4 linked regions of the Drosophila melanogaster genome follow. The protein of the gene in region 1 interacts with the protein of each later gene in a pairwise test. Each region holds a gene or a part of one and is shown in the gene's direction. Other genes may lie near its edges. The genes, in order: CG13843, CG30060, CG1622 and Pez.

What was found.
Region 2: the proteins of CG13843 (region 1) and CG30060 interact in a two-hybrid assay, tested with the Drosophila melanogaster proteins (one large-scale study listed by BioGRID).
Region 3: the proteins of CG13843 (region 1) and CG1622 interact in a two-hybrid assay, tested with the Drosophila melanogaster proteins (one large-scale study listed by BioGRID).
Region 4: the proteins of CG13843 (region 1) and Pez interact in a two-hybrid assay, tested with the Drosophila melanogaster proteins (one large-scale study listed by BioGRID).

The regions. Positions count from the first base shown.
Region 1 is NT_033777.3:22,607,191-22,611,985, forward strand, and holds CG13843 (uncharacterized protein), read left to right. Parts: upstream 1-2,294; 5' UTR 2,295-2,347; coding exon 2,348-2,916; intron 2,917-2,964; coding exon 2,965-3,484; 3' UTR 3,485-3,525; downstream 3,526-4,795. Other genes in the region: Efa6 (exchange factor for Arf 6), read left to right, coding at 7-28; CG31156 (uncharacterized protein), read right to left, coding at 1,670-1,893, 1,956-2,085, 2,159-2,291, 3,532-3,762, 3,820-4,009, 4,062-4,261, 4,331-4,613, 4,673-4,795.
Region 2 is NT_033778.4:13,421,519-13,425,618, reverse strand, and holds CG30060 (uncharacterized protein), read left to right. Parts: upstream 1-1,971; 5' UTR 1,972-2,015; coding exon 2,016-2,624; 3' UTR 2,625-2,641; downstream 2,642-4,100. Other genes in the region: ATP8A (ATPase 8A), read left to right, coding at 2,894-3,017, 3,116-3,299, 3,360-3,520, 3,583-3,780, 3,912-4,100.
Region 3 is NC_004354.4:13,294,566-13,300,965, forward strand, and holds CG1622 (uncharacterized protein), read left to right. Parts: upstream 1-2,516; 5' UTR 2,517-2,664; coding exon 2,665-2,674; intron 2,675-2,741; coding exon 2,742-2,882; intron 2,883-2,961; coding exon 2,962-3,086; intron 3,087-3,181; coding exon 3,182-3,317; coding exon of another isoform or gene 3,318-3,331; exon of another isoform or gene 3,332-3,622; intron 3,623-4,140; coding exon 4,141-4,247; coding exon of another isoform or gene 4,248-4,258; intron 4,259-4,330; coding exon 4,331-5,008; 3' UTR 5,009-5,345; downstream 5,346-6,400. Other genes in the region: CG1764 (uncharacterized protein), read right to left, coding at 406-531, 593-817, 962-1,059, 1,124-1,446, 1,948-1,982.
Region 4 is NT_033779.5:6,332,176-6,341,467, reverse strand, and holds Pez (Pez), read left to right. Parts: upstream 1-2,796; 5' UTR 2,797-2,820; intron 2,821-2,974; 5' UTR 2,975-3,325; coding exon 3,326-3,410; intron 3,411-4,196; coding exon 4,197-6,153; intron 6,154-6,214; coding exon 6,215-7,082; intron 7,083-7,143; coding exon 7,144-7,362; intron 7,363-7,429; coding exon 7,430-7,606; intron 7,607-7,660; coding exon 7,661-7,984; intron 7,985-8,046; coding exon 8,047-8,175; 3' UTR 8,176-8,587; downstream 8,588-9,292.

The DNA.
Region 1 (4,795 bases):
TTGCAGAAAAGAGAAGAAAAAGAAATAATTACGTTTTATTTCGCTCTTGATTTCGATCATTTCAAAACTCGCATAACCAACACACACCTACATCACAATCCCCGCCTCTTGGCTATCGGTAAGTGCCATGCCCACATTGAACCTATCAGCAACTTCGACTTATGCGTGTAACTATCTTTTCTCTCCCCACCAGTGAAGCAGGCGATTGAACGAATTTGAATAGAATACTCCAAAATGCCAAGCTGCCTGCGACGGGAACATAAACAGATCAGATCCACACAGAACCACTGAACCACTCACCCACTCGCATACTCAGCACCACTCGCGCCACGCCACCACCCACCCACTTACACTCAAGCGTTGCGGCTGTGCCGTGTCTGCCACAGAAATTCGGAATTCGTGCACTTTCAGTCAGTTAAAACCCCATCAGGGGTTGCGAGAAAGAGATCATTTGAGACAATTAGACTACCAATGCGATAATTAACGAGGGAGAATTTTACGTTTAAAGGTCGTTCATCAGAAGACATCGGCATAATCTCGGCAACCAGAGGATTATCTCGAATTCGTGCAGTTGATTTTATATTTACCATGCTACTTATCCAGAATGAGGGTATTCGAGATCGGTTTCACCTGATTTAAAGCTACACAGTCAGATCGATTCGAATTTGAATTATCGTTCATATTTGCTCCGCCAAAGATTCTGCTGGACGGCTGTTTAGGAACGAGAATGAAAACTGCTTATACACATAGACTTATTATTACAAGAGTTGATAAACAATACTTACATCATTACCTATGCTATCATTATAAATGATAAAAATAAATTATTAATTAATGAACAATATCTCTACACAACCACAAGATGGAGAACATCGGCAGTAACAATAACGAAATGAGAATTGAGAAGAGGACAAGCGCATTAGCATTAAGCTTAAGCAATTACTACCATACCGTGTACAACTTGTTTTTGGTCTTTTGCGATACATTATCACATTTAACTGTGTAGGAACAGTTACTCCAATATTATGTACGGATTAATATATTTATTTAAACAACTATCGGTTGATTACGCGACATGTCCATGTAGCTAGAATATGAAATTAAATATCCATTACGGGGTAAAGAGAGATGGAGGAAAAAATAAAATTAAATGCATCATATATTTTTGAATATATTATGATTATGGTATTGTGTAATTATGTAAATGCAGACTATATAACATTGTTTATAATAATTTTTAACAATTCTACTGAAACGGCAATAAATTCGAAAATACAAACTAACTAAAAGTGAAAGCAACTTGCCTGCTGCAAACCAAGCGCCTAAATGTATGCATATTGTATATTTATTTTAACTGGCTTAAGAGGGCATCACTTAGTTTCTAAAGCAATACCCTTTCGATAACAATTCATTTAAGACAACTTGCCAACTTGTGGCGAGAAGGGAAACAAGAAGACGAACGTGGAGACGGTGATTTTTATGTGAACATTTATTACTAACTGATAAGCTTTGATTAAACTTAGGAAAGCCGTTATACTATGCATATACACATATATATAAATATATATATGAACTATATATAGTATATATGAATGCTCGTGTGAGCAACCAAACAATTACGATATGAATCATTAAATACTTCCGAAAGCATTAAATCCCTGCAGTTTGTCTAATCCTCCGCCTTGAACTTAAACGAGGTATCCGTCTCCATCAGCATATTTTCCAAACGTAATTCCAACTGGCGTCGCTTCAGATCCACCTTTACCACCGATGCCACAATGCGATCGCCAACGCTCAGCTGCGAATTATTCATGTTACTGTTGTGTATGAGGCCATTGCGCTCCACTCCAACGTCCACGAAGGCGCCAAACTGGGTTACGTTGGTCACGGCACCTGTGTGTCGGAATAGTTTCAATAAGTACATATATGAAATGACTATCATAGTCTCCACTTGCCAGTGACCACCTCGCCCATGCTAAGATCATCCAGCCTAGTTAGACCTTGTTTGAACAGTGGCCTCTTGTCCAGATCTGCTCGATAATCCTGAAGTAATTCGCGCTGCAGGGCAACCAACAGGAACTCCAACTGAAAGGAAATTTATTTTAAATTATTTGAACATTGCAATAGGCCTGTTTAGTATAGATTGAGTGGCACTTACTCGCTCCATGGGCAGCTTGTGCTGCTTGGCAATGCGATCGAGATTAGGCTGGGATGAGGCAAACTGCTTGATGCTAGCTATAAAGGCAGCCTTGCCCACATCCGACAGCTTTAAGTCACATTCTCCGACAATACTGAAAGCACAAAAAGTATTTGGTTTTAGAGTTAAGTTTTCAAATTTTCCATTATAATGATTGCCAAGCTAAAGCAGGAATATGCGGAGCGCTGGCATTATCCTCCAATTGTGCCGCCAGCCAAGCTTCGATATGTTGCATGTGGAAAGGTAGCATTCTACGGCCACAACGATAAGCCGAAATACAAGCCCTGCTGGCAGCATCCGCTCAATGTGCAGGATCAAACCCGCTTTGGAGTTTGCTGGGAGTATCCGCCGGAGCGGTACAAGCGTCGTCCGCTTCCGCCACCGTGCCGGGGATCGACCATTCCCATCCATTTGCTGAAGCCAACCTTCAAGCATTGTGAGAATATCTACTCCCGCTACGATTTTAAGCTTGAGCAGTGTGTGCACGAGCAAACTCTAGTAGTTGACCAGAAAATGAAGGCCCTGAAGAATGAGCTGGAGCAGGCCAAACCATTTCAGATTGAGAGGGTTAAGGAGATGCGTTACCATGGAGTGCGTTATCGCATTTTAGCCAGCTCGACCGGATGCACTAAGACCTATCCCGAGTACATAAGCCGGATGACCGAAGAGCGGGCCCTTTGCGAGTTTCAGAGAGCCTACAATATCGTCAATCAGTCAAAGTAAGTCTATTAAAAATACACAGCCACTGCTAATTTAAAACTTTTTAGCACCGATTTGAGCAATTTATACCTGGACATGAGTGAGTCGAAAAAGGAGCTAGATCAACGCGTAGCCAGGTTGGACCGGTCTTTAGGAAGTACATTCTTGAAAGAGCTAGATTCGGTGCTGCAAATAATCGAGGACTTAAACACGTATTTCTTTGGCGTGATCGTGAAGCTAAAGACGTGGGCGGAGCTGATGGACCCTATGAAAGAGCACTCTATAGAGGACTATCTGGGGCTTTTGAGTCAGGAGACGGACTTCCGGACTTTTATGAGTGCCGGCATGGAGAACTGCACCTGCAAGCGTTGCGACAAGAAGGATCCCTTGAAGCCGTACCTTCCGTGCTGGTGTCAAATGGAATCTAGCGAGGATGTTACAAATCTTAAGAATTTTGACGACGATTGTCCAAAGAACATAGCTGGCATCACGCAACACGAAAGTGACATTGTGACACCTAGTGACACCTCCTTGTTAGTGAGGGCAGCGGATGAAAAGGCCAGGCTTGCGATGAATCAGGCGGAATAAAGTCTCATTATTATTGGTTAATGAAGTCAATTGAATATTGGACTTACCTTTCCACAACGTTGTAGCTCTCAGGATGCACCCAAGTGCAATCTAATGGATTCTGTAGTTGTCCTCCAACGCTTCGGGGTTCGATGCGCACAAAACCGGCGCACTGGACAAACGATTTCTCACCTATGCTTCGCACGGAGAGCAGATCCTTCCGTGTCTTGAATGGTCCTTTCTGCGTACGATGCTCAATGATCTTTTCCGCTTTCTTTTCCGACAGACCAGCAATGTGCCTATATGGTGGAGAATATTAAAAATATATAACTTATTTGACCCTTAATCACACATACTTGAGTACACTCAGACTGGCTGTGTTGAGATCAACGCCAACATAACTGACACACTCGGACACAACGTCATTCAGCGATGCCGTCAAAATCTTCTCGGGAACATCGTGCTGGTACATACCAACCCCCAGGTGACGGGGCTCTATTTTAACATATTCACTCAATGGATCATTCAAACGACGCGCTATGGACACTATACAAAATATGTTTGTTTGTGTTGCTTTTAATTTGATCTTCGTCCAAACCTGCGCTCCTTTCGTTTGTATCCATTTTGGGAAACTCCTTGGCGGCCACATTGCTGCAGGAGTAAATAGATGCTCCATTCTCGTTAACGATGCTGTAGCGAATGATCCTGCTGTCCAGAACGCCGGCATGAAACATACCAGTTAGCCAGTGCTCAGTTTCGCGACAGGCAGTACCATTGCCCAGGCCAATAATTTTACAGCTTTTGGGAAAGGCAAAAAAGACATATTAATAACTATCTTTGCAAATCGAATTCAAAATATATATATACTTATGATCTGAAAGAAGCTGAACCAATTTCTGTTCGGCAGCCCGCTTGTTTGACATGGCACCATGAGGGTAAATAACACCAGTGTACAGCACATCAGCAGTCTCGGATATAAGTGCCAGCTTGCATCCATTTATAAAACCCGGATCTATGCCCAAAATGCGTTCGCCTTTCAAGGGGGATATCAACAGTAGTTGCTTCAGGTTCTTGGCAAACACATCGATGGCTGCCTTTGTGCCTTTTTCTTTTAAAGCCGCTCGAATCTGCCTGCACATCAAGGGCTGCACTGTAATAAGTAATTAATTAACATATCATATGGGGGTCTTAATATATTCCATATCTTACACTTCTTCGCGTAGCACTCCTCTAAGGATTTTGTGAACACCTCCCTTCTTAATGGATATTGCAAGCCTTGGTTCATGTACTGATCGGTTATATAGCGCATCAGATCTCTTTTAAGGTAATCGT
Region 2 (4,100 bases), on another chromosome or scaffold:
GGCAGTAATCCACATCGAAGGCTGGACGAATCGTCCGTGATGGGCAGTATGCAGTCAGTGAAAAATTATATTAAAAGAACACGCCCAGGCCGGAAAAAAAGAAAAGGTGCATATGTTTTTTAACTAAGCCATTATACTTGTTAAAGTATATATATAAAATATATATGTGCGTATATATAGCTTTCATATCCCAACTAACAAATGAATTTCTTTAAAATTTCTTTTTTGAACCGCACTTGAAATTTTTAGAAATTTTTTAAATCGCTACAAATTATTTATCAAAATTCCATGTGGTTAGTTATTATGATCTTGCCATAAAATGTAATATTTATTTTAGAAAGTGAAACTTACGGTCCACAGATTTTCTAGCCATAGTTATTCGGAAATATGAGTAACTCAATATAAAGTTGGGAAAATATGCTTCCTAGCATTCATTAACTCGCTTGCAATACGATATATGATAGTTAGGGTACTTCGTTGGTCGGCTCTGGTCGACCTTCAAATTCCAAGTCATTTCAAAACATTTGACTTAAGGCGCAGTCGCGTTCTCTTCGCGCTCTCTTTTCGTACGTAGCTCTCCCTTGTTTCTCACCTTTTGTTTTGCTAGCACGTTTCGCTTTCGCTTTTGCTCCTGCATTCCAAACACCCCCCAACCCGATCTCCCAAGCTTCCCAGTGGTAGGTACGCAGTGTTTTGGGTTTACTGATAAATCGCAAGCTTCATAAGCTCCTTTTGGAGAATGCACTACGCAGCTTTTGAGGGGTGGTGGGTTGGACTCAAGGGGTTTCCAACCTGGGGGGGGATGACCCCACACCCCGCACATCGGGAAACCCATCCCTGTTGTCCTTTCTGGGTCCTTCGAGCTCGTGGAAATTTCATTTCAGTCGTAGTATCGGAGCTCAGGAGAGCGCACATAGTGAAAAGTGTGTGGTGGTGAAAGTGTGTCGCAGAATATTTGCTAATTTTAAGTAACTTTAGATAATCGTTCGTCAATCAGTGTCAGCTAAGCTATTATCAATCAAATTAACTTACTGAATATATCAAAATCGTTTAAATCTGTTGGCCGGAAAATCACGTGCTTAACGCATTCAACTTAATTGTGACAAATCGATACCTGAAACGGAAAAGTGCAGGCACGTTGCCAGGTGATGGATGTGAAAAAGTTATACGACCAGTTGGCCACGCAAGGAACATTGGTGAACCACTTTGATTAGGTGGTCAAATGGTGCTCCGTAGGAATCCCTTCATTGGCCGTGTGTATAGGCAAATGTGCATGGCACAGAATCCTCCGTACGGGATGAAAATTGTGTTTTCTTATACGCATTGATTGAAAAAGAGGAGGCGCAGGCGCCATCCCACAGGACTACTCTTATACCATTTGCCAATCGCCACGCCCACTTGTGGCTGATTATCCTTGCCGAGGCTGTCACCAGTGACCAACTGCCCTCCATCCTGGGGTTTCCCAAGCGGAATCAGGAGGAGACCGCTGGCGAGTGCATTGCATTCGTGCCCGTGGGCGATTGCGATTCTGGATCCGACGAGCTACCCGGGCCCGAGGAAGAGGAAGCGGAGGAGGAGACGGTGGAGTCGGTGGTAGCGGCGCCATCTAGGGATCGGGCAGGACGCTTCCGTTGTCCCGCGCTTTTTCGCCGGGCCAAAATGGACTTTCGTAATGTCTACAAGGCGATGCGCATTCGTTGGAGTCGTAAGTGACTAGAAAAATATTCAAATCTTTCAAATGATGGGGAAATTGTGTACACAAATATGGGATTCTTTGAAGACCAACAGTCTATAAAATAGTACAACTGAAATGCGATCTAGAGTAACTACTATAGAAACCAAACAATGAATTTATTTATTCGATTGATCGATTGATCAGTTTTAATTGATCTAGAACAACAGACATCTGCGGTTCTTGTTGTTCCATAAACAATAAAAAAAGCTTATATGCCAATTATAGCAAGCCTAGCTCCTCTTTCCTGTTTTGTCAACCAAAATTTTGAAATTCCACCACCATGCTGGTGAGCTGCCCGATCCTTTGTCCAGTTGAGAAACTGGTCACGGAACTCAAGAGGCACCACGTGATACCCCGCCTCTTTGCCTGCAAGCCAACGAAGGTGATCAGTGTGCTATATCCCTGCGATATCGACATCAAACCGGGCATTATGGTAGTGATTAATGAGACGCTGAAGCAACCGATCATTCGGTTTAAGGCCGATCCGGAACACTATCACACGCTGATGATGGTCGACTTGGACGTGCCGCCGGACAATAATACGGAGTGGCTCATTTGGATGGTCGGTAATATTCCGGGCTGCGATGTCGCCATGGGTCAGACGCTTGTGGCCTACGACAACCGGCGGACCATCCACGGCAGTAACATCCATCGAATCGTCTTCCTGGCCTTCAAGCAGTATCTGGAGCTCGATTTCGACGAGACTTTCGTTCCCGAGGGCGAGGAAAAGGGTCGTGGCACCTTCAATTGCCATAATTTTGCAAGGAAGTATGCGCTTGGCAATCCGATGGCTGCCAATTTCTATCTGGTGGAATGGTTATGGCGATGGACACCAACATACCTCGTCTCGGAACATGAATTCGAACCTTCAAATGGAAATGAAAATTAATAAAAGCTCGAAGTTTTAAATTAGTCTTGTTCTTATAATACAGTTCTTGGGACGACTATAATTTCATACTTGTATGTCCTTGGTATATATAGCCATAATATCAAATCATTGATATAGTAGCATTCAAAAGATAATAGCCGATTACTAATCAGCAAAAAATGAGAACTTAATTGAAACATCGCTGTCCACGGTAATAAATGCCGTGTAATTTTCCGATTTCTCACGTTTTGATATCACCTATTAATCAACGTTTTCATACATATTTTCAGATGACGAGGACTTCACCTCGTCCGCTGGGTACGATGCAGATGATGGGGAGAGGCGTATCATAAACCTAAATGGGCCACAGCCCACTAAGTACGGTAATAATCGCATAACGACGGCAAAATATAGGTGAGTGAGTACGAGCCATTTAGCGCCTGATAACTATCATGACCTAAATGAATGGATTAGACACAAAGTAAACAACAATCTGTCCCATTTGCATGCAGTTTCATCAGCTTTTTGCCCGCGTTCCTGTTCGAGCAATTCCGGCGTTACTCCAACTGCTTTTTCCTGCTAATTGCCATACTGCAACAAATCCCGGAGGTGTCGCCGACGGGTCGTTACACCACGCTAGTGCCACTGATGTTCATCCTTTCGGTGAGCGCCATTAAGGAGATAATCGAGGACATTGTAAGTACTAAGAGTAACATATAGCCAGTTGAGTTGTTGATATCTTTCCATGATTTGCAGAAACGACATCGGGCGGATAATGAGATCAATCACCGATCGATAGAGCGCCTGGATAGTGGCTCGTGGTGCACAGTTCGCTGGTCGGAGTTGACGGTGGGCGATATCATCAAAGTGGGAATCAATACCTTCTTCCCCGCCGATCTGATTCTGCTGTCGTCCAGGTGCGCACCCAAGTTAACCCCAATTTGTTTTGATACTTTATACGAATCTGATGCTTCCACAGTGAACCGCAGGCCATGTGCTTCATAGAGACGGCCAATTTGGATGGTGAGACCAACCTGAAGATTCGACAGGCCCTCCCAGCCACCGCTGAACTGCTGGAGACGAAGGATCTGCAACGATTGGAGGGCAGGATCGAGTGCGAGCTGCCCAACCGGCATTTATACGAGTTTAACGGAGTGCTCAGGGAAACTGGAAAGCCGTGAGTAATTTGTTATTAAATAGTTATGTAAACAGTAAGAGAACTAATTAAACAATGTGTGTAGTCTCAGAAGTGACTTTTGTCACCCTACTGCTATTTCAAATGAATAAAAACATCTTTTTTTTTTGTAGACCCGCTGCTTTGGGCAATGATCAGGTGCTCCAACGTGGCGCCATTCTTCGGAACACGGCATGGGTGTTCGGGATCGTGGTCTACTCCGGGCAAGAGACGAAGCTGATGAAGAACTCTACCTCGGCGCCATTGAAGCGCTCAACCGTAGACAAGCTGACCAACACCCAGATCCTCATGCTCTTCATGAT
Region 3 (6,400 bases), on another chromosome or scaffold:
AATTCATAATAGTAATTTTACCATATTAATACAATGATATCCGTTCAACATCGTCATGGATTGTGAGTGGAGGAGGAATGGCGATCATCTATCTGGACGTCGACGGCGATGATACTTTCCAACTCTGATTGAATTACACAACCTATAAAATAACAATGAGCTGGAAAGTAACAGCAGCGACGCCTCAGCGACAATCAGTTTGATTAGCGTCAAAGGTTTAATCTTAATTGTGTAACAATAACAAGAGATGGTGTGTATAAACTATAATAAGATAATACAATTTTGCTGATGCCTGGACAGAGCAGGGAATGCATGCAGTATCCTGCTCCTTGGGCCTGTTGTGCATGTTTCTCATGGCAATGCTTCTCACTCCGGTCGGTTGAACCTCTCGGCTCCCAGAGAGATTCACAAGCTCCGTATGGACTTCCAGCGTCGCAGCAACAAACACGACGAGGTCAGACCACTGGAATATTGGCTAAATTCACTAATATTTATGTTGCGTGTTGGAATGTCGATTTTCTCTTTTAAAGTCTGCCCGAAAGAAAAAAAAAAACAATTAGCATGGCGTCTAATTAGAACGATCGATGCTGACCTTGTAGGCTTCTGGAATTTCCGTTGGGGATCTGTGCACGATCGTTCCATTGATGTACAGCATATTGGCCGCACTCTCCTCGGGCAGAGTCAACTTCTGGTAGGTGCAGATGGCCTCGCGCTCCATCCGCTTGACGATCTCCTGGCAGGTGGGGCTACTGCTCACACACAGCACTTCCGGCCCCGCCATGGTCACATAGTACTTCAGCCTCTTGGTGCCGTTGACCTGATTTGTAATATATGCACATATTAATGGGCGGTGTACAAAGAAAGGGAAGCTTTAATAGACAATCTCAAAGATCTCTTCACAGATGTTTACTGAATTAGTGGATAATCTATAAAGCTTCCAATAGTTATATTATAACAATACCCGAATCGGCGTCACTGGATATTCGGGATAGGCCATGGCCACCGCCCGGGCTCCCTCCTCATTGGTGAAACTGGAGATGCCAACGAAGAATTCGCGACCTAATGCAATTAACACAATGAATTAATTATGATATCATGGTATCTCTTTAAATGAAATATATACCCGTGAAAAGCACATCGCCACCATCGAGCTGAGCGTTCGGATCCTCGATCTCGATGACCGGAATGTCCAGCTCCTTTTTGAGAATAATGGCCATGCTCTCGGCCTCGAGTTGCCGCTTGGGATGCTCCGATCTTCCGATCAGGGCCACTCCGTTACAGATCACCGCACTGTTCTCGACAAATACGCCCTCGGGCAGCTGGTCATCCGGCGGCAGCTCGATCACATCGAGACCAATGGTCCTCAGGAGGGTGCAGTACTGCTCGTGCTGCTGCTTGGCCAGCTGTACGTCGAACTTTCCGTTCTCCAGCAGGGCATCCGAGATTCTACGGATTTAAAGCGGTTAACAATGGATCTGCTAATTGAGGCGCGAATACGAGAACGTCTGAGTGGATAAACGAGTGGGTAATGTACTTGTGTGCTAACTACTCCTTATAAGAAAGAAAGTTATTAATTCCTATTCTTAAGCATTTTGTTTAATGATTGTGGGAGAAACTATTGTAGAAGATGTGTCAAATAGATAAATTAATGCTTGGTAAACAGGAAACTGTATTTTTAAACGTATAACTTCAAAATTGGTATCCTCAGGCTTATAAGTTCTATTTTAGATATGTAGCTATAGAAAGATTTGAATAATCAGATAGATCCAAACTAGATAGTGTTAAAGACAGGATCCAGGAACTGGGCGGCTTGGAAGGTGCAGCCCCACCCACTGGCATGTGTACCCACGAACGTTTGGTTGGGTGACCTAATTCCGCGCCACTGGGGCACTCCCTCCTCCGGATGCGGCAATCCGTCGAATTGAGACGAATTTGGGCTCCACTCACCTGGCCACAATCGCATGTGTGTACTTGGGCGACATGGTCGGCGGATTGGCCACTGGGTGCTCGTCCTCGGCGGCGGAATGCAGATGCAGATGCGGATGCGAAGATGGGGATTCGGATTGGATTCAGTTGGGCACAGTGTGACCTCGCTGCGAATGCCCGTAAAGGCAATTCTTTCGACGCCCTGGTCACTCTGCCATTCACTGGAAATATTTACAAGTTTTTGAAACGATTTAGTAACGGAAAATTACACTTTTTGTTTTCTAAATGTAGTATTACAAATCAAATAAATTAATAATTAAAAGGACAAGCATATAACTGAACGAAATGCGAATTTTCTGTGCATTTTCATAAGAATTGACCCAAAAACATTAGAAGGAAAAGAAAATTGCGCTTACTGTGATATAATAATATATTATATATTATATATTACGCTAACAAATAAGGTTTCATAAGCAAATATTAAATAAATTATTACAAATTATTGAAAATCACGACTTGTGGTGAACAGTCACGACCAAAGCAGTGACCTTAAGAATTGCCCGCTCCAGCGTTATCGATAACACACCGATAACGACTGCTAACGCATACACATCGCCAATTTGGGCATTTTCTCGCATGTAAATTGCAAATTGTGCTTGCATTTTTCGCGTTTTCCCGCGCACACAATCCTTCGGTAGCCGTAAAATTAATGCGCCCAATAGTAAAAGAGCAGTAGGCATGGACGAAGGTGAGTAAGAACATAGCATCCAATCCCCGCGAGCGTTTCATTGATGGCGGCGTCTTGTCTCGTGCAGATTATTCGGCGTCATCTTCGGCCGGCGGTGGCAAGAAGGCCGGCAAGCAGCACAACACGCTGCCCTTTTGGGGCAACGAATCCTCGATGAACCTGAATGCCCTGATCCTGGCCAACATCCAGAGCTCCAGCTACTTCAAAGGTGCAACCAAATCCACACGCGTGCTATTGCCAATCGTCACACTTACTAACCCGCCTTTTTTTTTGTGTACCCCAAACAGTCCATTTGTTTAAACTGAAAACGTACCATGAAGTGGTCGACGAGATCTACTACCAGGTGAAGCATATGGAGCCCTGGGAGCGTGGATCCCGCAAAACGTCCGGACAAACGGGCATGTGCGGCGGTGTGAGTGGTTTATGAAATGTAGCGCTAATCGTTGGCGATGCTTTATGCAATGCATGAATGTATGCACTCATTTTCGTTATCCTATTCCTTTCTAGGTGCGAGGCGTTGGCGCCGGCGGCATTGTGTCAACGGCATATTGCCTGCTCTACAAGCTATACACGCTGCGGCTGACCCGGAAGCAGATCAACGGACTGCTCAATCATACAGACTCGGCCTACATCCGGGCACTAGGTAGGTGTTGGTAAGTCGCATGAGTTCAGCCGTCACATATGCCGTCGCTTGCTCCTGCTCCCCCAGCTCACCAAACGAAACCAAACCACACCATACATCACCCCAAATTTGAAAAAAAAAAATAAGAAAAAAGAAAATAAAATACATGAAGCAGGGTGGGTCGATTTGGACGGTTGCAAACTATAATAGAGAATCTTGGCGGATGGTATTCTATGGATTGAACAACAATCACGTTTCCTTTTCGATTTCAAGTTGTGCCTTTTGCGAGAAGAGGACCTAGCATCTCCTTGCATCTGCCTGCGAAGGTAATCTTTACCCTACTTGCAAATATTTTATTTTATCAAGTATTCATGTTTATGCAATTCCCGGAGCAGTTCATTAAGCATGCACAAATCTTTTCAAATTTATTCGACTTAAATCACCATCTTGACATTCAACCATTGCTTTTTCAGAAATTCCTAACTAAAATCAAAGGAAAAAGTCAAAGTCTACGGTAATTTGCCTATTAAGAACTATTTTTTAGGGATTTTCAGTTACCTATTGCATGATTTTGCCGATTAAATGCTATATAATACATTCATGATTTTTAAATTTGTCCAAAAGAAAATTCCATGTTTTGTCAGAGTGGCCTTTCCCACTAATTGAAAACATATATTCCATTCAAAAATTAATAGGCTTCCTTCCAACTAAGTAATACTTTCCCGTCAATCAAATCGAGCCACTCTACCATGAAACTCATTATACCCCTTTGGCCAACCACCACAAGTTCAACTCCTTGAAAATGTTTTAATCCCGAGTCTCTCATTTTTATTCCGTGCCCCAGGCTTTATGTACTTGCGATACACGCAGCCGCCGGGTGACCTTTACGACTGGTATGAGGACTATTTGCAGGACGAGGAGGAGATCGACGTGAAAGCGGGCGGCGGCCAGGTGAGTCAACTGTATGAGCCACCAATCACACGAAAACCAACACTCGGTTGATAGAACTTGGAACTAACCTAAGCTATTTGCAGGTCTTAACCATCGGACAGATGGTTTATCAGTTTATGACCAAGCTGGACTGGTTCTCCACGCTCTTTCCGCGCATCCCCGTGCCGATTCAAAAGCAGATCGAGAAGAGGATCGAGCAATACTGTAGGGAGCAGGGGGTGACCGTCCATCAGTTGAGCACGGGTCGGTCAACGGCGGGCACTGGTGGTGGTCCTGGAGCCGCTGGCCAGGATGCGGACTACCAGGACTATCCGGAGGGAGGAGTAGAGCGTGGAAGCGGCGGACGTGGCGGTGGACAAGCTGGCTCCCGTTCCAACGCCTACCCACAACCGAATAACTACCGCAACGATTATGACGAGCGTGACTACTATGCTGCCGCGTCTGGCTCGTCCTACGGCCGTGGTCGCGGTGGCTATGAGGACTACCCACCGGCGCCGCTGCCACCACAGATGCCTTACGGCGAGCGCGAAAGGGAGAGGGATCGCGATCGGGATAAGAATAAGGATTACGACCGCCACCGCAGCAAGCACAAGAAGAAGCACAACCATAGACAAAGCTCGCGTAGCCGCAGCAGAAGCCGCAGCCGGAGTCGCCACCGCTCCGAGCGCCATGAGCGCAAGCGGGACGGTGGTGGCTACGAGCGGAGCAGCAAGAGCCGGCACAACGAACACTATGAAGAGCGTGAGCGACGTCATCGGTGAAGACCGATTCCACCCACCAAAACTAGCCTCCTCCTCCTTAAGTTGTTCTGTTACTAACTAACTTTGTTTCACCATAGTACTACTACACATTTTTTTTTAATTTGTCAAACTCTATCTACACTTTGGAAGCCACGAACGTCAGTTGCGCTTCTTACTCAGGTTAAACACTCTCCGAAACCCCGAAATGTTCCATAACTAACACTAAATCTAGACACAATCACATGCGGACACAGCAGCAAGGCTATATTTTGTAATTTGTGACTACACTTACGCTGATAAAATAGTTTTCAAGTTGTGTTTATGAAAATAAAGTCAAAACTTATTTGTTTAAAACGTTTATTGATATTTATTGATATATTCGGTAGTAGAAGCTTTACTGTAAATAGTTTCGAGATAGATCCAAAAATTGTATGGGTTTTTACTTTTAACCTGAGAGAACAAAGTGGATGAGTTCTTGGACTATCACATCCATCAGTGATTCTAATTAGTGATATATATACTGAATGGGATTGAAAACTATTGGATTTGATTGCTGCATACTTTTTAGGGAATCTAGGTTTTTAAAAAGACTTCCTAATGTTTCGCAGTGTTTCTTTTTGAAATGCTTGGCCCGATATTGAAGTTGTGCTTGTGAGAGCTTTTTGTTGAAATATAATCATCAGTGCTGCGCAATTTATAAGCAGGTGCAAAACCAATATTACCAGGGAAACTTCAATCCAACAGACTTCGGTATTCAAATTTAAGAGTATAACTTCCATGTCTTGTTACAGATAAACTAAGAGGATTGCTAATTCCAATAGGATTGAACAATACTCAAATCACTTGTGATGTGTTCAGAAAGATTACAGACAAGTGGAGAGATCCCTGTTCGGGCGCCATTTTAAACTTAGTATTCTGTCATAAAAGAGGGTAATCATTCTCGATGGTAGAGGATTGTGGCAGTTCGCACGGCGGGGCATTTTTCGAGCTTTGAGTCGAGCATGGAATTATAATCGCCAGTGCTGCGCAGATTATTGGCAGCGCGGATCGGTCAGGTGCGACAGCTGAGACAGGTGAGGCGGTGCCAAGCCTCCTGGCCGAATTTCGAATTTCGAATTTCAGTTAGTGTGCAACGCCTGCGTCGAGTTGTCGCCTCTCGCGCCGACCGTTAGAAGAAAAGCGCCGTCAAAAGAAAATCGCCGGGCAGCCAGAAAGCGGCTTATCAAATGTAATTAGCATGTGCCAGCACCAATGAGAGAGTTCACTTAAGCCACCAAATCCGAGCCGTAATCCAAGCCAAAAAGCCTCTGCTAGCGCACACAGACATGCACAGACACTACGATCATATCATATCAATGTCAGGCAATACAACAACAATAACAACAACAACAACAAAAATTGCAGAACACAAAC
Region 4 (9,292 bases), on another chromosome or scaffold:
TTTCATTAGGATTCAGTTTATGAAGTACTTAAAGATTTTAATGTACATATACGGTTTGTATACGTTTCTTTACCCGAATTTATAAAAAAAAGCATAGGAAATGCAAATTGAGAGGGTTTACTTAAGCTAGAGTTTGGGTTTTGAAATGCACACTTGGAGTTCAATGAAATTCGCCCCGACTGCTTTGAGTTTTAACTAGTGCCGAAAGCATTTTTACTAGAACTCTCAACTTAAGCAGTTGGAAGTTTGAGCTGATCCCAGGTGTTATCTTTTGTTTTGTGGGGGCTTAAGGAGCTCTACTGAATTTTCACCTTGAATTCGGGTTTGACTTAATGCTTTAATGTTGCTAATGCGCCGCTACGTGCGTGAACTTTGTATAGAGTCGCGTAATAGTTCTTGTTGCTGTGGTCAGCAAAAGGCAGAAAATAAATATTAAACACATGCGAGGCATATGCAAATCGACGCCAGTATCGTCATTCTCGTCCGATTTCGAGGAAGGTATGTGTTCGACGCTCCCGATAACAACCAACACTGACAACAAGTGGAGGTGAACATAAAATTGGCGTCTTTTTATAGGTCACCCATGTGTGCTGTTCGATTGACGGAATGACGACAGCGCAATGATTAAATTGTGTTAGGAAGCACACATATATATCACGAAAACCAACAAATGTTCCAAAAATGTTAACATAAATTCGGTTTCTTTAGTTTTTTTTACGAAACAATAGATCCTAACTCGTTCAAATGTGTATATGTTTCCTCCAAAAACACTCTTTATTTGAGTGCTTCTTTTTCTAGTTTACGACTAAGTAGTTAATCTAAATGAATGAGATGAATGATCTTGGTTATTTCTGCTTAGCCATCTATTCAAACAAAGTTTACGATCTAGTCACAACAAACGCCCATCTAGTATCACCCTACACACTTGTAATGTGCGTGATAACGCTTAGAATCTCGCTTGGCATATGTGATTTTAAAATTCCCTAAACACGATGACACTCTCGAATTACTCGTCCGAATCGACGGAGAATTATAAAGTAAGCATGACTATGCATATTTATTTCGCGCCCAAGTGGCTTTCGTTATCATAAACCTAGTTTGGCTGTCTGGAAAGGATGAAATGTAACTCCGCGCTCACTTTAACCGAAGTCCATTAAATGTAATCCCATTACGGAACCTGCCCTTTTAATGGTTCTTTAATTGGAAGAACTAATAGTCTAGCTTTAATAGGTAGGTAACCCTATAATGGGGTGTCATAACATATAATATAATATATTTATTTAGTTTGTCTTTGAACTTGAATTTCAGAGAACTAATTTTTATCCATAAAAGTTCTTAGGAAGTGTACAACAATGTACAATTTTTATATTTTAACTGATTTATATATATGTAAATATGTATGTACGTACATACCTAGACTTGCAGTATCTCCTACTAAGTTCTTAGTTCTTTCAAAATGGAACGATTTTACAGAGTTCAGTTATACAAGGCAGCAAGAGTATACACACTTCGGCTTTTCGAACTAAGCCACTTTCAATTTCGTTGTAGTAAATTTTGATACTAGGATTTTGTTTACATCGTCATTAATGTGTGTGTGTTTAATTAGCATAAAACAATATATCGGTTGGCTTTTTTCACAAATTGTTTTTAATAAATTGGAAACTAAATGCAACGCCAACTCCAATTGGAAAATGTGTAAAGTTGGTGTACTTAGGATTTTCAAATGTTGATTTTTTGAATAAGGAAAGGCAGGTTAACGGAAATTAAGAACATAGCTTCGTCGCTCATATCGAGTGCTTACTGTACGGGAAGCAGACAGTCGACAGCTGTTCTCAGCGGAGAGCCACGAGCAGAAAAGTAACTTGATGGCCGATTGGCGACCCGAGTCGCGTTTTTGGTTATGCAATTCGGCCTACGACTCGGTTTGAGACGTGAAAGGCGGCGATACAGCGTGCAAATAGCGCAAATTAATAACAGAAGTGAATTAAATTAAATTACACGCAGCGCGGACGGAGTGAGCGAGAGCGCACTATCGCACGGGCGGCGGCGAGGCTGTGCGAGAGCGAGAGGGAGAGGGAGACTGGGCGAGCGCAGCAACAGGTACTGAACTTTAAACTCGCTCGCAGGGCTCTTCTGTGTGTGTGTGTGTGTGTGAGCGAGCGAGTGAGCGATACGGTTGCTCCATCATCTGTCCTCGTCGCTGCAACCTTGACCGCCAATGCAGCGCTCGAAATATCTAAGCAGCAAATTAATTATGGACTGGATTTCGATTTTGGTAATCGGGTTTTGCTTTTTGGATTTCGACAGTGCGTGGCCTTGTGATTCGGCTCCTCGAAACTCACCGATCGCGATCTCCGACTGCGCTGCTCCTAATCCTCTGTAGATAGACGACGATCGGTGGATGTGGATGTGGATTTGTGCCCCGTCTCTGGTGCTCTTCCTGTTGCAGCCCCTCTCAGCAGCTTGGCAGACGTCAAAGCCCTTGATTTAAATTCGCTTTATTCAGTTACGCAGCGGGGCGAAGCCACGATCTTAATTTTAATTCGCTTTATTCGATAAAACGTTGACGGAGGGCGGCAAGTGCAAAGGGGAAGTGACGACTACCACGGCAGCAGCAGTACTAAATTACTGAATTCCAGAGGGACCGTCGTCGAATCGCGGTGTGGATTTCTCAGTTGCGCGCACTTTCCAGCACTGGAGTTGGAACGGATAACAGAGCTATGCCAGCACGCCACCTATGTGTCCAGTAGCTCTGTTAAGTTTGATATTTTACTGTTCGCTAGAAACCGTTATTCTCTTGCTGTGTACAACGAAGTATTCGTGTGTATCAGTGGTTTTAATATCTTTAGGAATTTTATTTAATCACTGCTGACTGCATTGTTATATATTTTAAAATATAAACTGTTTTGTTTCAGTTACATATTTCTTGGTTGCACTTGTTTTCTTTAACAGAACTAAACCTATTTTCTTGCAGCCCACTGCGCAAAGACATACCGATAGTCAATGCCGCCTATCGATCCATTCGATGCCAGCCACCGAGATACTCAGTCAGCACCTGCGTATCGATATCAGCACTTCGGTCTCTTCGTTTTATTTCTCGTGAATTCCTTTATTTATTGTCGTTAACTGCCCAATTACTATCTTTAACTTTACTTAACCAATACGCGCAGTGCTCTGGTTTGCGTGTCTAATCAGCTGATTCAAATCGGCTAATTCCAATTGAGCAATTTACTCCCCCAAAAAAAACCTGTGGTGTCGATGGTGCTGCCGTTTTAGCCACTTTTGTGAGCCCAGCGGAGCCCCGGTGGAGCAAAATAGTCGAAAAATGCCATTGAAATTCTTGAAAAAGTGTCGCCAGTACAATGTTACGTCCAAGAGTTTGTTTGTTATATCAGTGCATCACCTGCTGGGTGAGTAAGCCCCACATTCCTAGAGGCGCTACGCCCCCCACAACAACAACAGCGACAGCAACGACAACAACAACAACAGCAATAGCAACAGTGGAGACGAGACAATAGAAACAACAAGAAATCGGTGACAAAGCCACAACTTAACAGCTGCCGTCTGCCATTGCAATTGGGATTATTTAATTGGGAATGTGCACAACGATTGTCATGCGGCGCCCACTTCCAGTTTAGCTGGAATTCGCCTTCCAAGGCACAGACCACAAAAATGCCTTCACTTGTTGCATTCTAGTTAACAGTCGCTGAGTTAACAGAGGCGCACAGGACACATAACAGCGACCGTTAATTCTAAAACTAACAGACTGCCTATGAGAACTTCCTAACTTTGCGTACTTCACATTTTGTATATTATTTACTCTCGATTTTGGGCTAAACAAAAGCATGTTTTGTAGTTCTTATACACTTAACCGAATGTACTTATTTGGCAAGCGAACTGAAGACCTTGACTCAATTAAAACCACCCAAATTTCTCCAACCATCAGAAAGGTTTTAGACATTAGGCCTACGTTTCGTTAGTTAGGAAATACGACAGATGAGAGAAGCCAATTGAGCGGCGCCGCCACAATTTCCGTCCATAAAACGTATAAGGTCTCGAAAGAGATTATAAACTTTATTTGCATATTTGCGCGTGCGACGGGCAGGGCCAAATTGTTGTTGTGCGGCGAATTTAGAGTGCTTGGAGCGACTTAGGCCGATGTTTGAAGCACGTTTTCACTCTTACCTACATTGCAGACACATCCAGCACAGTGGACTGCACGATCAGCTCGGAGAGCAAGGGACAGGAGTGCCTGGACAACGTTTGCCAACGTTTGCTAATCCAGCAGCCGGAGTTCTTTGGACTGCGCTACCTGGTCAAGGGCAAGGACAAGGAGGACGAGTTCAAATGGATCGACCTGGAGCGCTCGCTCAGTCGGCAGCTGGAGAAGTATGCGGCGGGCCCCAAGATCTACTTGCGCGTTCGCCACTACGTGACCACTGGCGTGCGCCACTTGAGCGACGAAGCCACGCGCTTTTACTACTTTCTGCAGCTGAAGAGCGACATCTACGAGGGCCGCATCGCCTGTGACATCCGCACGGCCATACTGCTGGCGCTCTACTGCCGCCAGGCGGAGTACGATAGCTACCAGGGCGACAAACAGAGCAAGGACTATCTGAAGAAGTCGCTGGTCCTGCCGCGCAACATGCAAGGCCTGGCCAACGATGACAGCATGCTGGAGGGACTGATCGTGGAGGTCCTGCAGCAGCAGGCGGGCATTGCACATCTGAGTCAGAGCCAGGCGGAGGAGATGTACATACAGTGCTGCCAGCAGCTGGAGGGGTATGGGGAGGAACGTTTCGCCGCCAAGGACACGCTCGGCAATGATTTGTTGCTGGGCCTGGCCATCAACGGGATGGTGGTGAACGCGGACAACGGTCGGCAGTATTTTCCATGGAAGGAGTTCCACACGGTGACCATCGACAAGCGAACGATTAAGATCGAGCAGAACAAGCTGGATGGTGGCGGCAGCATCGTGGGAAGCTTTATATTCAGCGAGGCGGACACGGCACGTTACTTCTGGAAGCTCACCATTAGCCAGCATAAGTTTTTCAAGCGCTATATTGACACGGCCACGCCCTCGAGCCTGGGAAGTGGTGCGGATGCGGAGAGTGGTCCGTTGGGCGTTGACAGCGTTGGTTATGTCGACTACGATTACAATGAAGCGGCGGCCGCCGAGCAACTGCAACAGCATCATCAGCAGCAGCAACATATGCAGCAGCAGCAACAGATTCAGCAGCAGCAGATGATTTCCTCCAACATTTCGCTGGCTACCAGCGCTAACCAGATGTTGGGACAAAGCAGCTCCTGCCTGGATTTGAGCAACAACAACCTGCACAGCAGCAGTGGCATGTTGCACCACGGAGGCAGCAACAACAACAATAACAACGATGAGCGGGAGCGCCTCAAAGCCATGCTGCCCACATACCGCCCGGCACCAGACTATGAGACGGCGGTCCAACTAAAGTACCGCACACCATCGGCGGAATTCCACAATGTGGCACTGGCAATGGCCGCGCCCGGAAATGCCTACTATGCGGGCTCCCAGCCTGATGTACACAATCCAGGCATGCACAACGAGAACTTACTGTATGGTCATATGACTGCGCATCGTTATCCGGACGTGGCCCAGCCGGCGGCTGCCCTACACCACCACATCAACCTGTACCAGGCACAGCATCAACCGCAGTCACATCCACAGCCCATGAGCCCCGCCCAGGCATACCTAGAGCTCTCGCAGCGCATGCATATGATGCGTCACAAGGCCCCACCGCCGTATGTCAATCGGCTGAGTTCCTCCTCCACGCCCGATCTGGCCGTGGCCACTCCCCGTCCCCTTCAGGGTTTCCGCAACTACGTAAGCGGCTCCTCGCCGGATCTAGTCTCTAACCGCACGCTCTTCAATGGCGGTCAGTACGTTGCTCTGCCCGCAGGCGGACATGCCGGAAATATTCCAACATCTTCCGGAGCCACCATGTTGCACCAGTACCAGTACGTGAGCCACATGGGGCACTCGCAGCCCTATCTGCCCCCGCACGGCACCTTCGAGAACCTCAACATGATCGAGGAGCAGCCGTCTATAATGTCCCAGCTGCGACAGTCAGCGATGAGTCAGGCAGCAGCTGCAGCTGCCGGATCTGTGGTAACGCAGAGGTAAGTGTAATGAAGTCGTAAAATAAACAATATAACAATACTTTTCGCTACGATCTTGCAGTTCACCTACCCTGCCGCCGAGTGGATATCGTAGTTCTGTGCCCCCGCCAGCGAGCAGCCCGCTTCCACCGCCGGTGGTTGCTTCGTCCCATAAATCGGCGACACCGGCGCCACTACAGAGGAGCTTGGTGAACGGTTCCATCGAGCCCATCTACGAGAATGTACCCCTGCCACAGAGAGCCTCTGGTGGCAGCAGTGGTGCCGCAAATACTGAGGCTATGCGTCAAAGAGCTTCCTCCATACAGTCCGCCCCAGGCGTTGTCCCTGTTCCAGCTGCTCGAAACGCCAGCTCCAACAACGTAGTTACTGTAACTGTCAATTCTCCACCCGACGATGGAAACATAAAGAAGTACGGCGCAGACCGAGCAGCAAGCACGGAGCTGCTGTTCCTGGAACCGCAGGCTCCTAAGCGGACCAATCGAGCCGCCAGTGCAGCGCCAGATATGGGAGCCACACCTCCGCCACGACAACATCGCTCAACAGCAAGCCTAAACAAGTCGTCGACGGTCGACATGATCACGCCGGCCGGAGACACGCTGCAACAGCAGTTCAGTGCCATGAATCTTTCTGCCAACACATCAGCTTCCACATCCTCCATGTTCAACTCAACGCTGGACACCACGTCCTCATCGGCGGCCAGCAAAGACTTAAAACGCAAGAAGCGATGGAACTTTTTGTCACGCAGCAAAACACCCGACAAACAGAAATCCGCCACACTGGGCAGGGAAAAGGCCACAACGGCAGGTCAGCACTCCAAGCTGGCGGCAAAGCTAAAGCTAGCCCAAGACGATCTCAACCTGCCAAATCGTTGGTCCACAGGCGTCAACAAGCCGCAGCCCATTTCTGGACGATATTCCAAGGACAAACTGGTAGGTTAAAAGTTATTACGATTTGGAATCCATTTCGATTAAAGCGCTTGTCAACTTCCAGTGCCAAATCCTAGACCAAAAGCTAAGTGACTCGCAGCTATTCATGGAGTTCGAACGCATACCGAAACGACGGGAGCATGCCCTATACGAATGCGCCCTGCTGGAGGAGAACGAGCCAAAGAACCACGACCCCAACTTTTTACCCTATGACGACAACAGAGTGCGACTGACTCCATGCCGAGACAATCGGCATGGTTACGTTAATGCTTCCTCCATATCTGTACGTTCAGTTGACACTCAAGATGAAAAGCAAATTGTGTATTTCATTGTTGGAACATCTTTTTCAGGCCACTGTGGGCACAAAGCAGCGGTTCTATATTGTGGCCCAGTCGCCACAAGAACCGCTTACCATGCGCATCTTCTGGCAGTGTGTATGGGAGGCGGATGTGTATTTGGTGGTCCAGCTAACCGAGGATATGAGCTATATTCCTCGTAACAGTCATCAGCGTCTCGAGTTTGGACAGGTAAGTGAACCGCATAAGCTTTTAGTTCTGTTCCTCAAAGGTTCTACTTTCTAGTTCCAAGTGTATCAGGAATTCTCACAAACCACCGATCGATGCACCACCATCAAGCTGCGCCTTTACCACGTACCATCGCGTCGATACCGATCCGTTTGGTATTTGCAGTACGCTGACTGGGCGGAGCAGAATTGTCCACGCGATGTGAATCACTTCCTCGATTTCCTCGAGGAGCTGAATTCCGTGCGATTGGCATCTACGCAAGAAGTTCCGCCGGGACATAACACAAACCCACCAGTTCTTCTTCACTGTCTGGAGGGAGGCGGTCGTTCGGGAGTGACACTGACCGCCGATCTTTTACTGTACACGTTGGACCACAATGAGGTGAGTGGAGAAAGGGAATTTATTATTCCATTTCCATAAGCATTATTTTCTTACGATCGCAGGACCTGGATATACCTCGAGTTATCGGGCAGCTAAGGCATCAACGGGATAGCATTATACCATCCCTGGCGCAATACAAGTTCATATACAATCTGCTTATTACCTATTTGAAGCGCACGAGGCTCATCTGAGGTTCTAAAGAATATGGAAAACTTGGCAAGAAGTATTTTTCTTTGTTTAAGCTTAAATTGTTTATATCGAACAAATTTCCTTTAGTTCTCGTTTTAAAAAATCAGTACAACTCCGTTCAGCAATTTTATATTTCTACTGGCAGCTGTTGTCCCTATAATCGTTAAATTTTAATACCAACTAGTTTTTAAGCTCTAGATTTGTTATAAAAACAGAACCCCCCACAATGGCCACTTTATAGATACATACATAAATATAAAAGTAGCGGATAGGTAGTTGTTTTGGCAAGCCAGTAAAAATGCCAGTTAACTAACCACAGCCACAACAATTGGGCTTAGGTTTAAAGCCGAACTATTTATACATGTGTATTTTAATAAATTTCGAAATAAAAACAATAACAAATTGATAAAAAGCAATAAGCACATTTAACTCTTATGCGACGTGCAACGTGTTTTTTCTTAAAAAATTATTCCCAGCGCGCTTCCCCAAAGAAAAGGTTTGAAAAAAATTAATTTTATTTTTGTTAATTTGGTTTGATGGTCCGAAACATAGTTAATACATGTATAATTGTCACATAGGTCTTAAAATATGAATTAAATGTACTTCATGTTAGTTTGGCGATCTGAAGACATTTTCATACAATACGTGGCAAAAAGGAAGACATATTATGAATTTATAGTCTTCAGATTTAGGACAAATTTTGTTTTTCGGTAATAAAAGCCAGACATTCATTTTTTAGACGTCTTCTCAATTTGATGAAAAGTTTAAAAATCTTTTTAAACTGCCCACTTTTTTCATTCCCCACTAGAATATTGAACATTTATAAGAAGACGTCCCCAGGATCTTTGAAAATCAAAGATACAATTAAAAGATCACTTTTTCAAGGTAATATTCATTATTAAATAATTTTATTTTTGTGCACCTTTGCAGACAAGTTGCAAAAATAAACGCTCAACATGACATTGAAAAAAGTCTCTCGTCGTTTTTCAAAGATTCCTAAAAATCTAATCATTTAGCTGCACAACATACAGATATATAAATACAGAAAATCATTAAGCAAAATACGCGATTTTTATTTATACAGAGTACAATTTAGGCTTCGATCTAATGTTTTTCTTA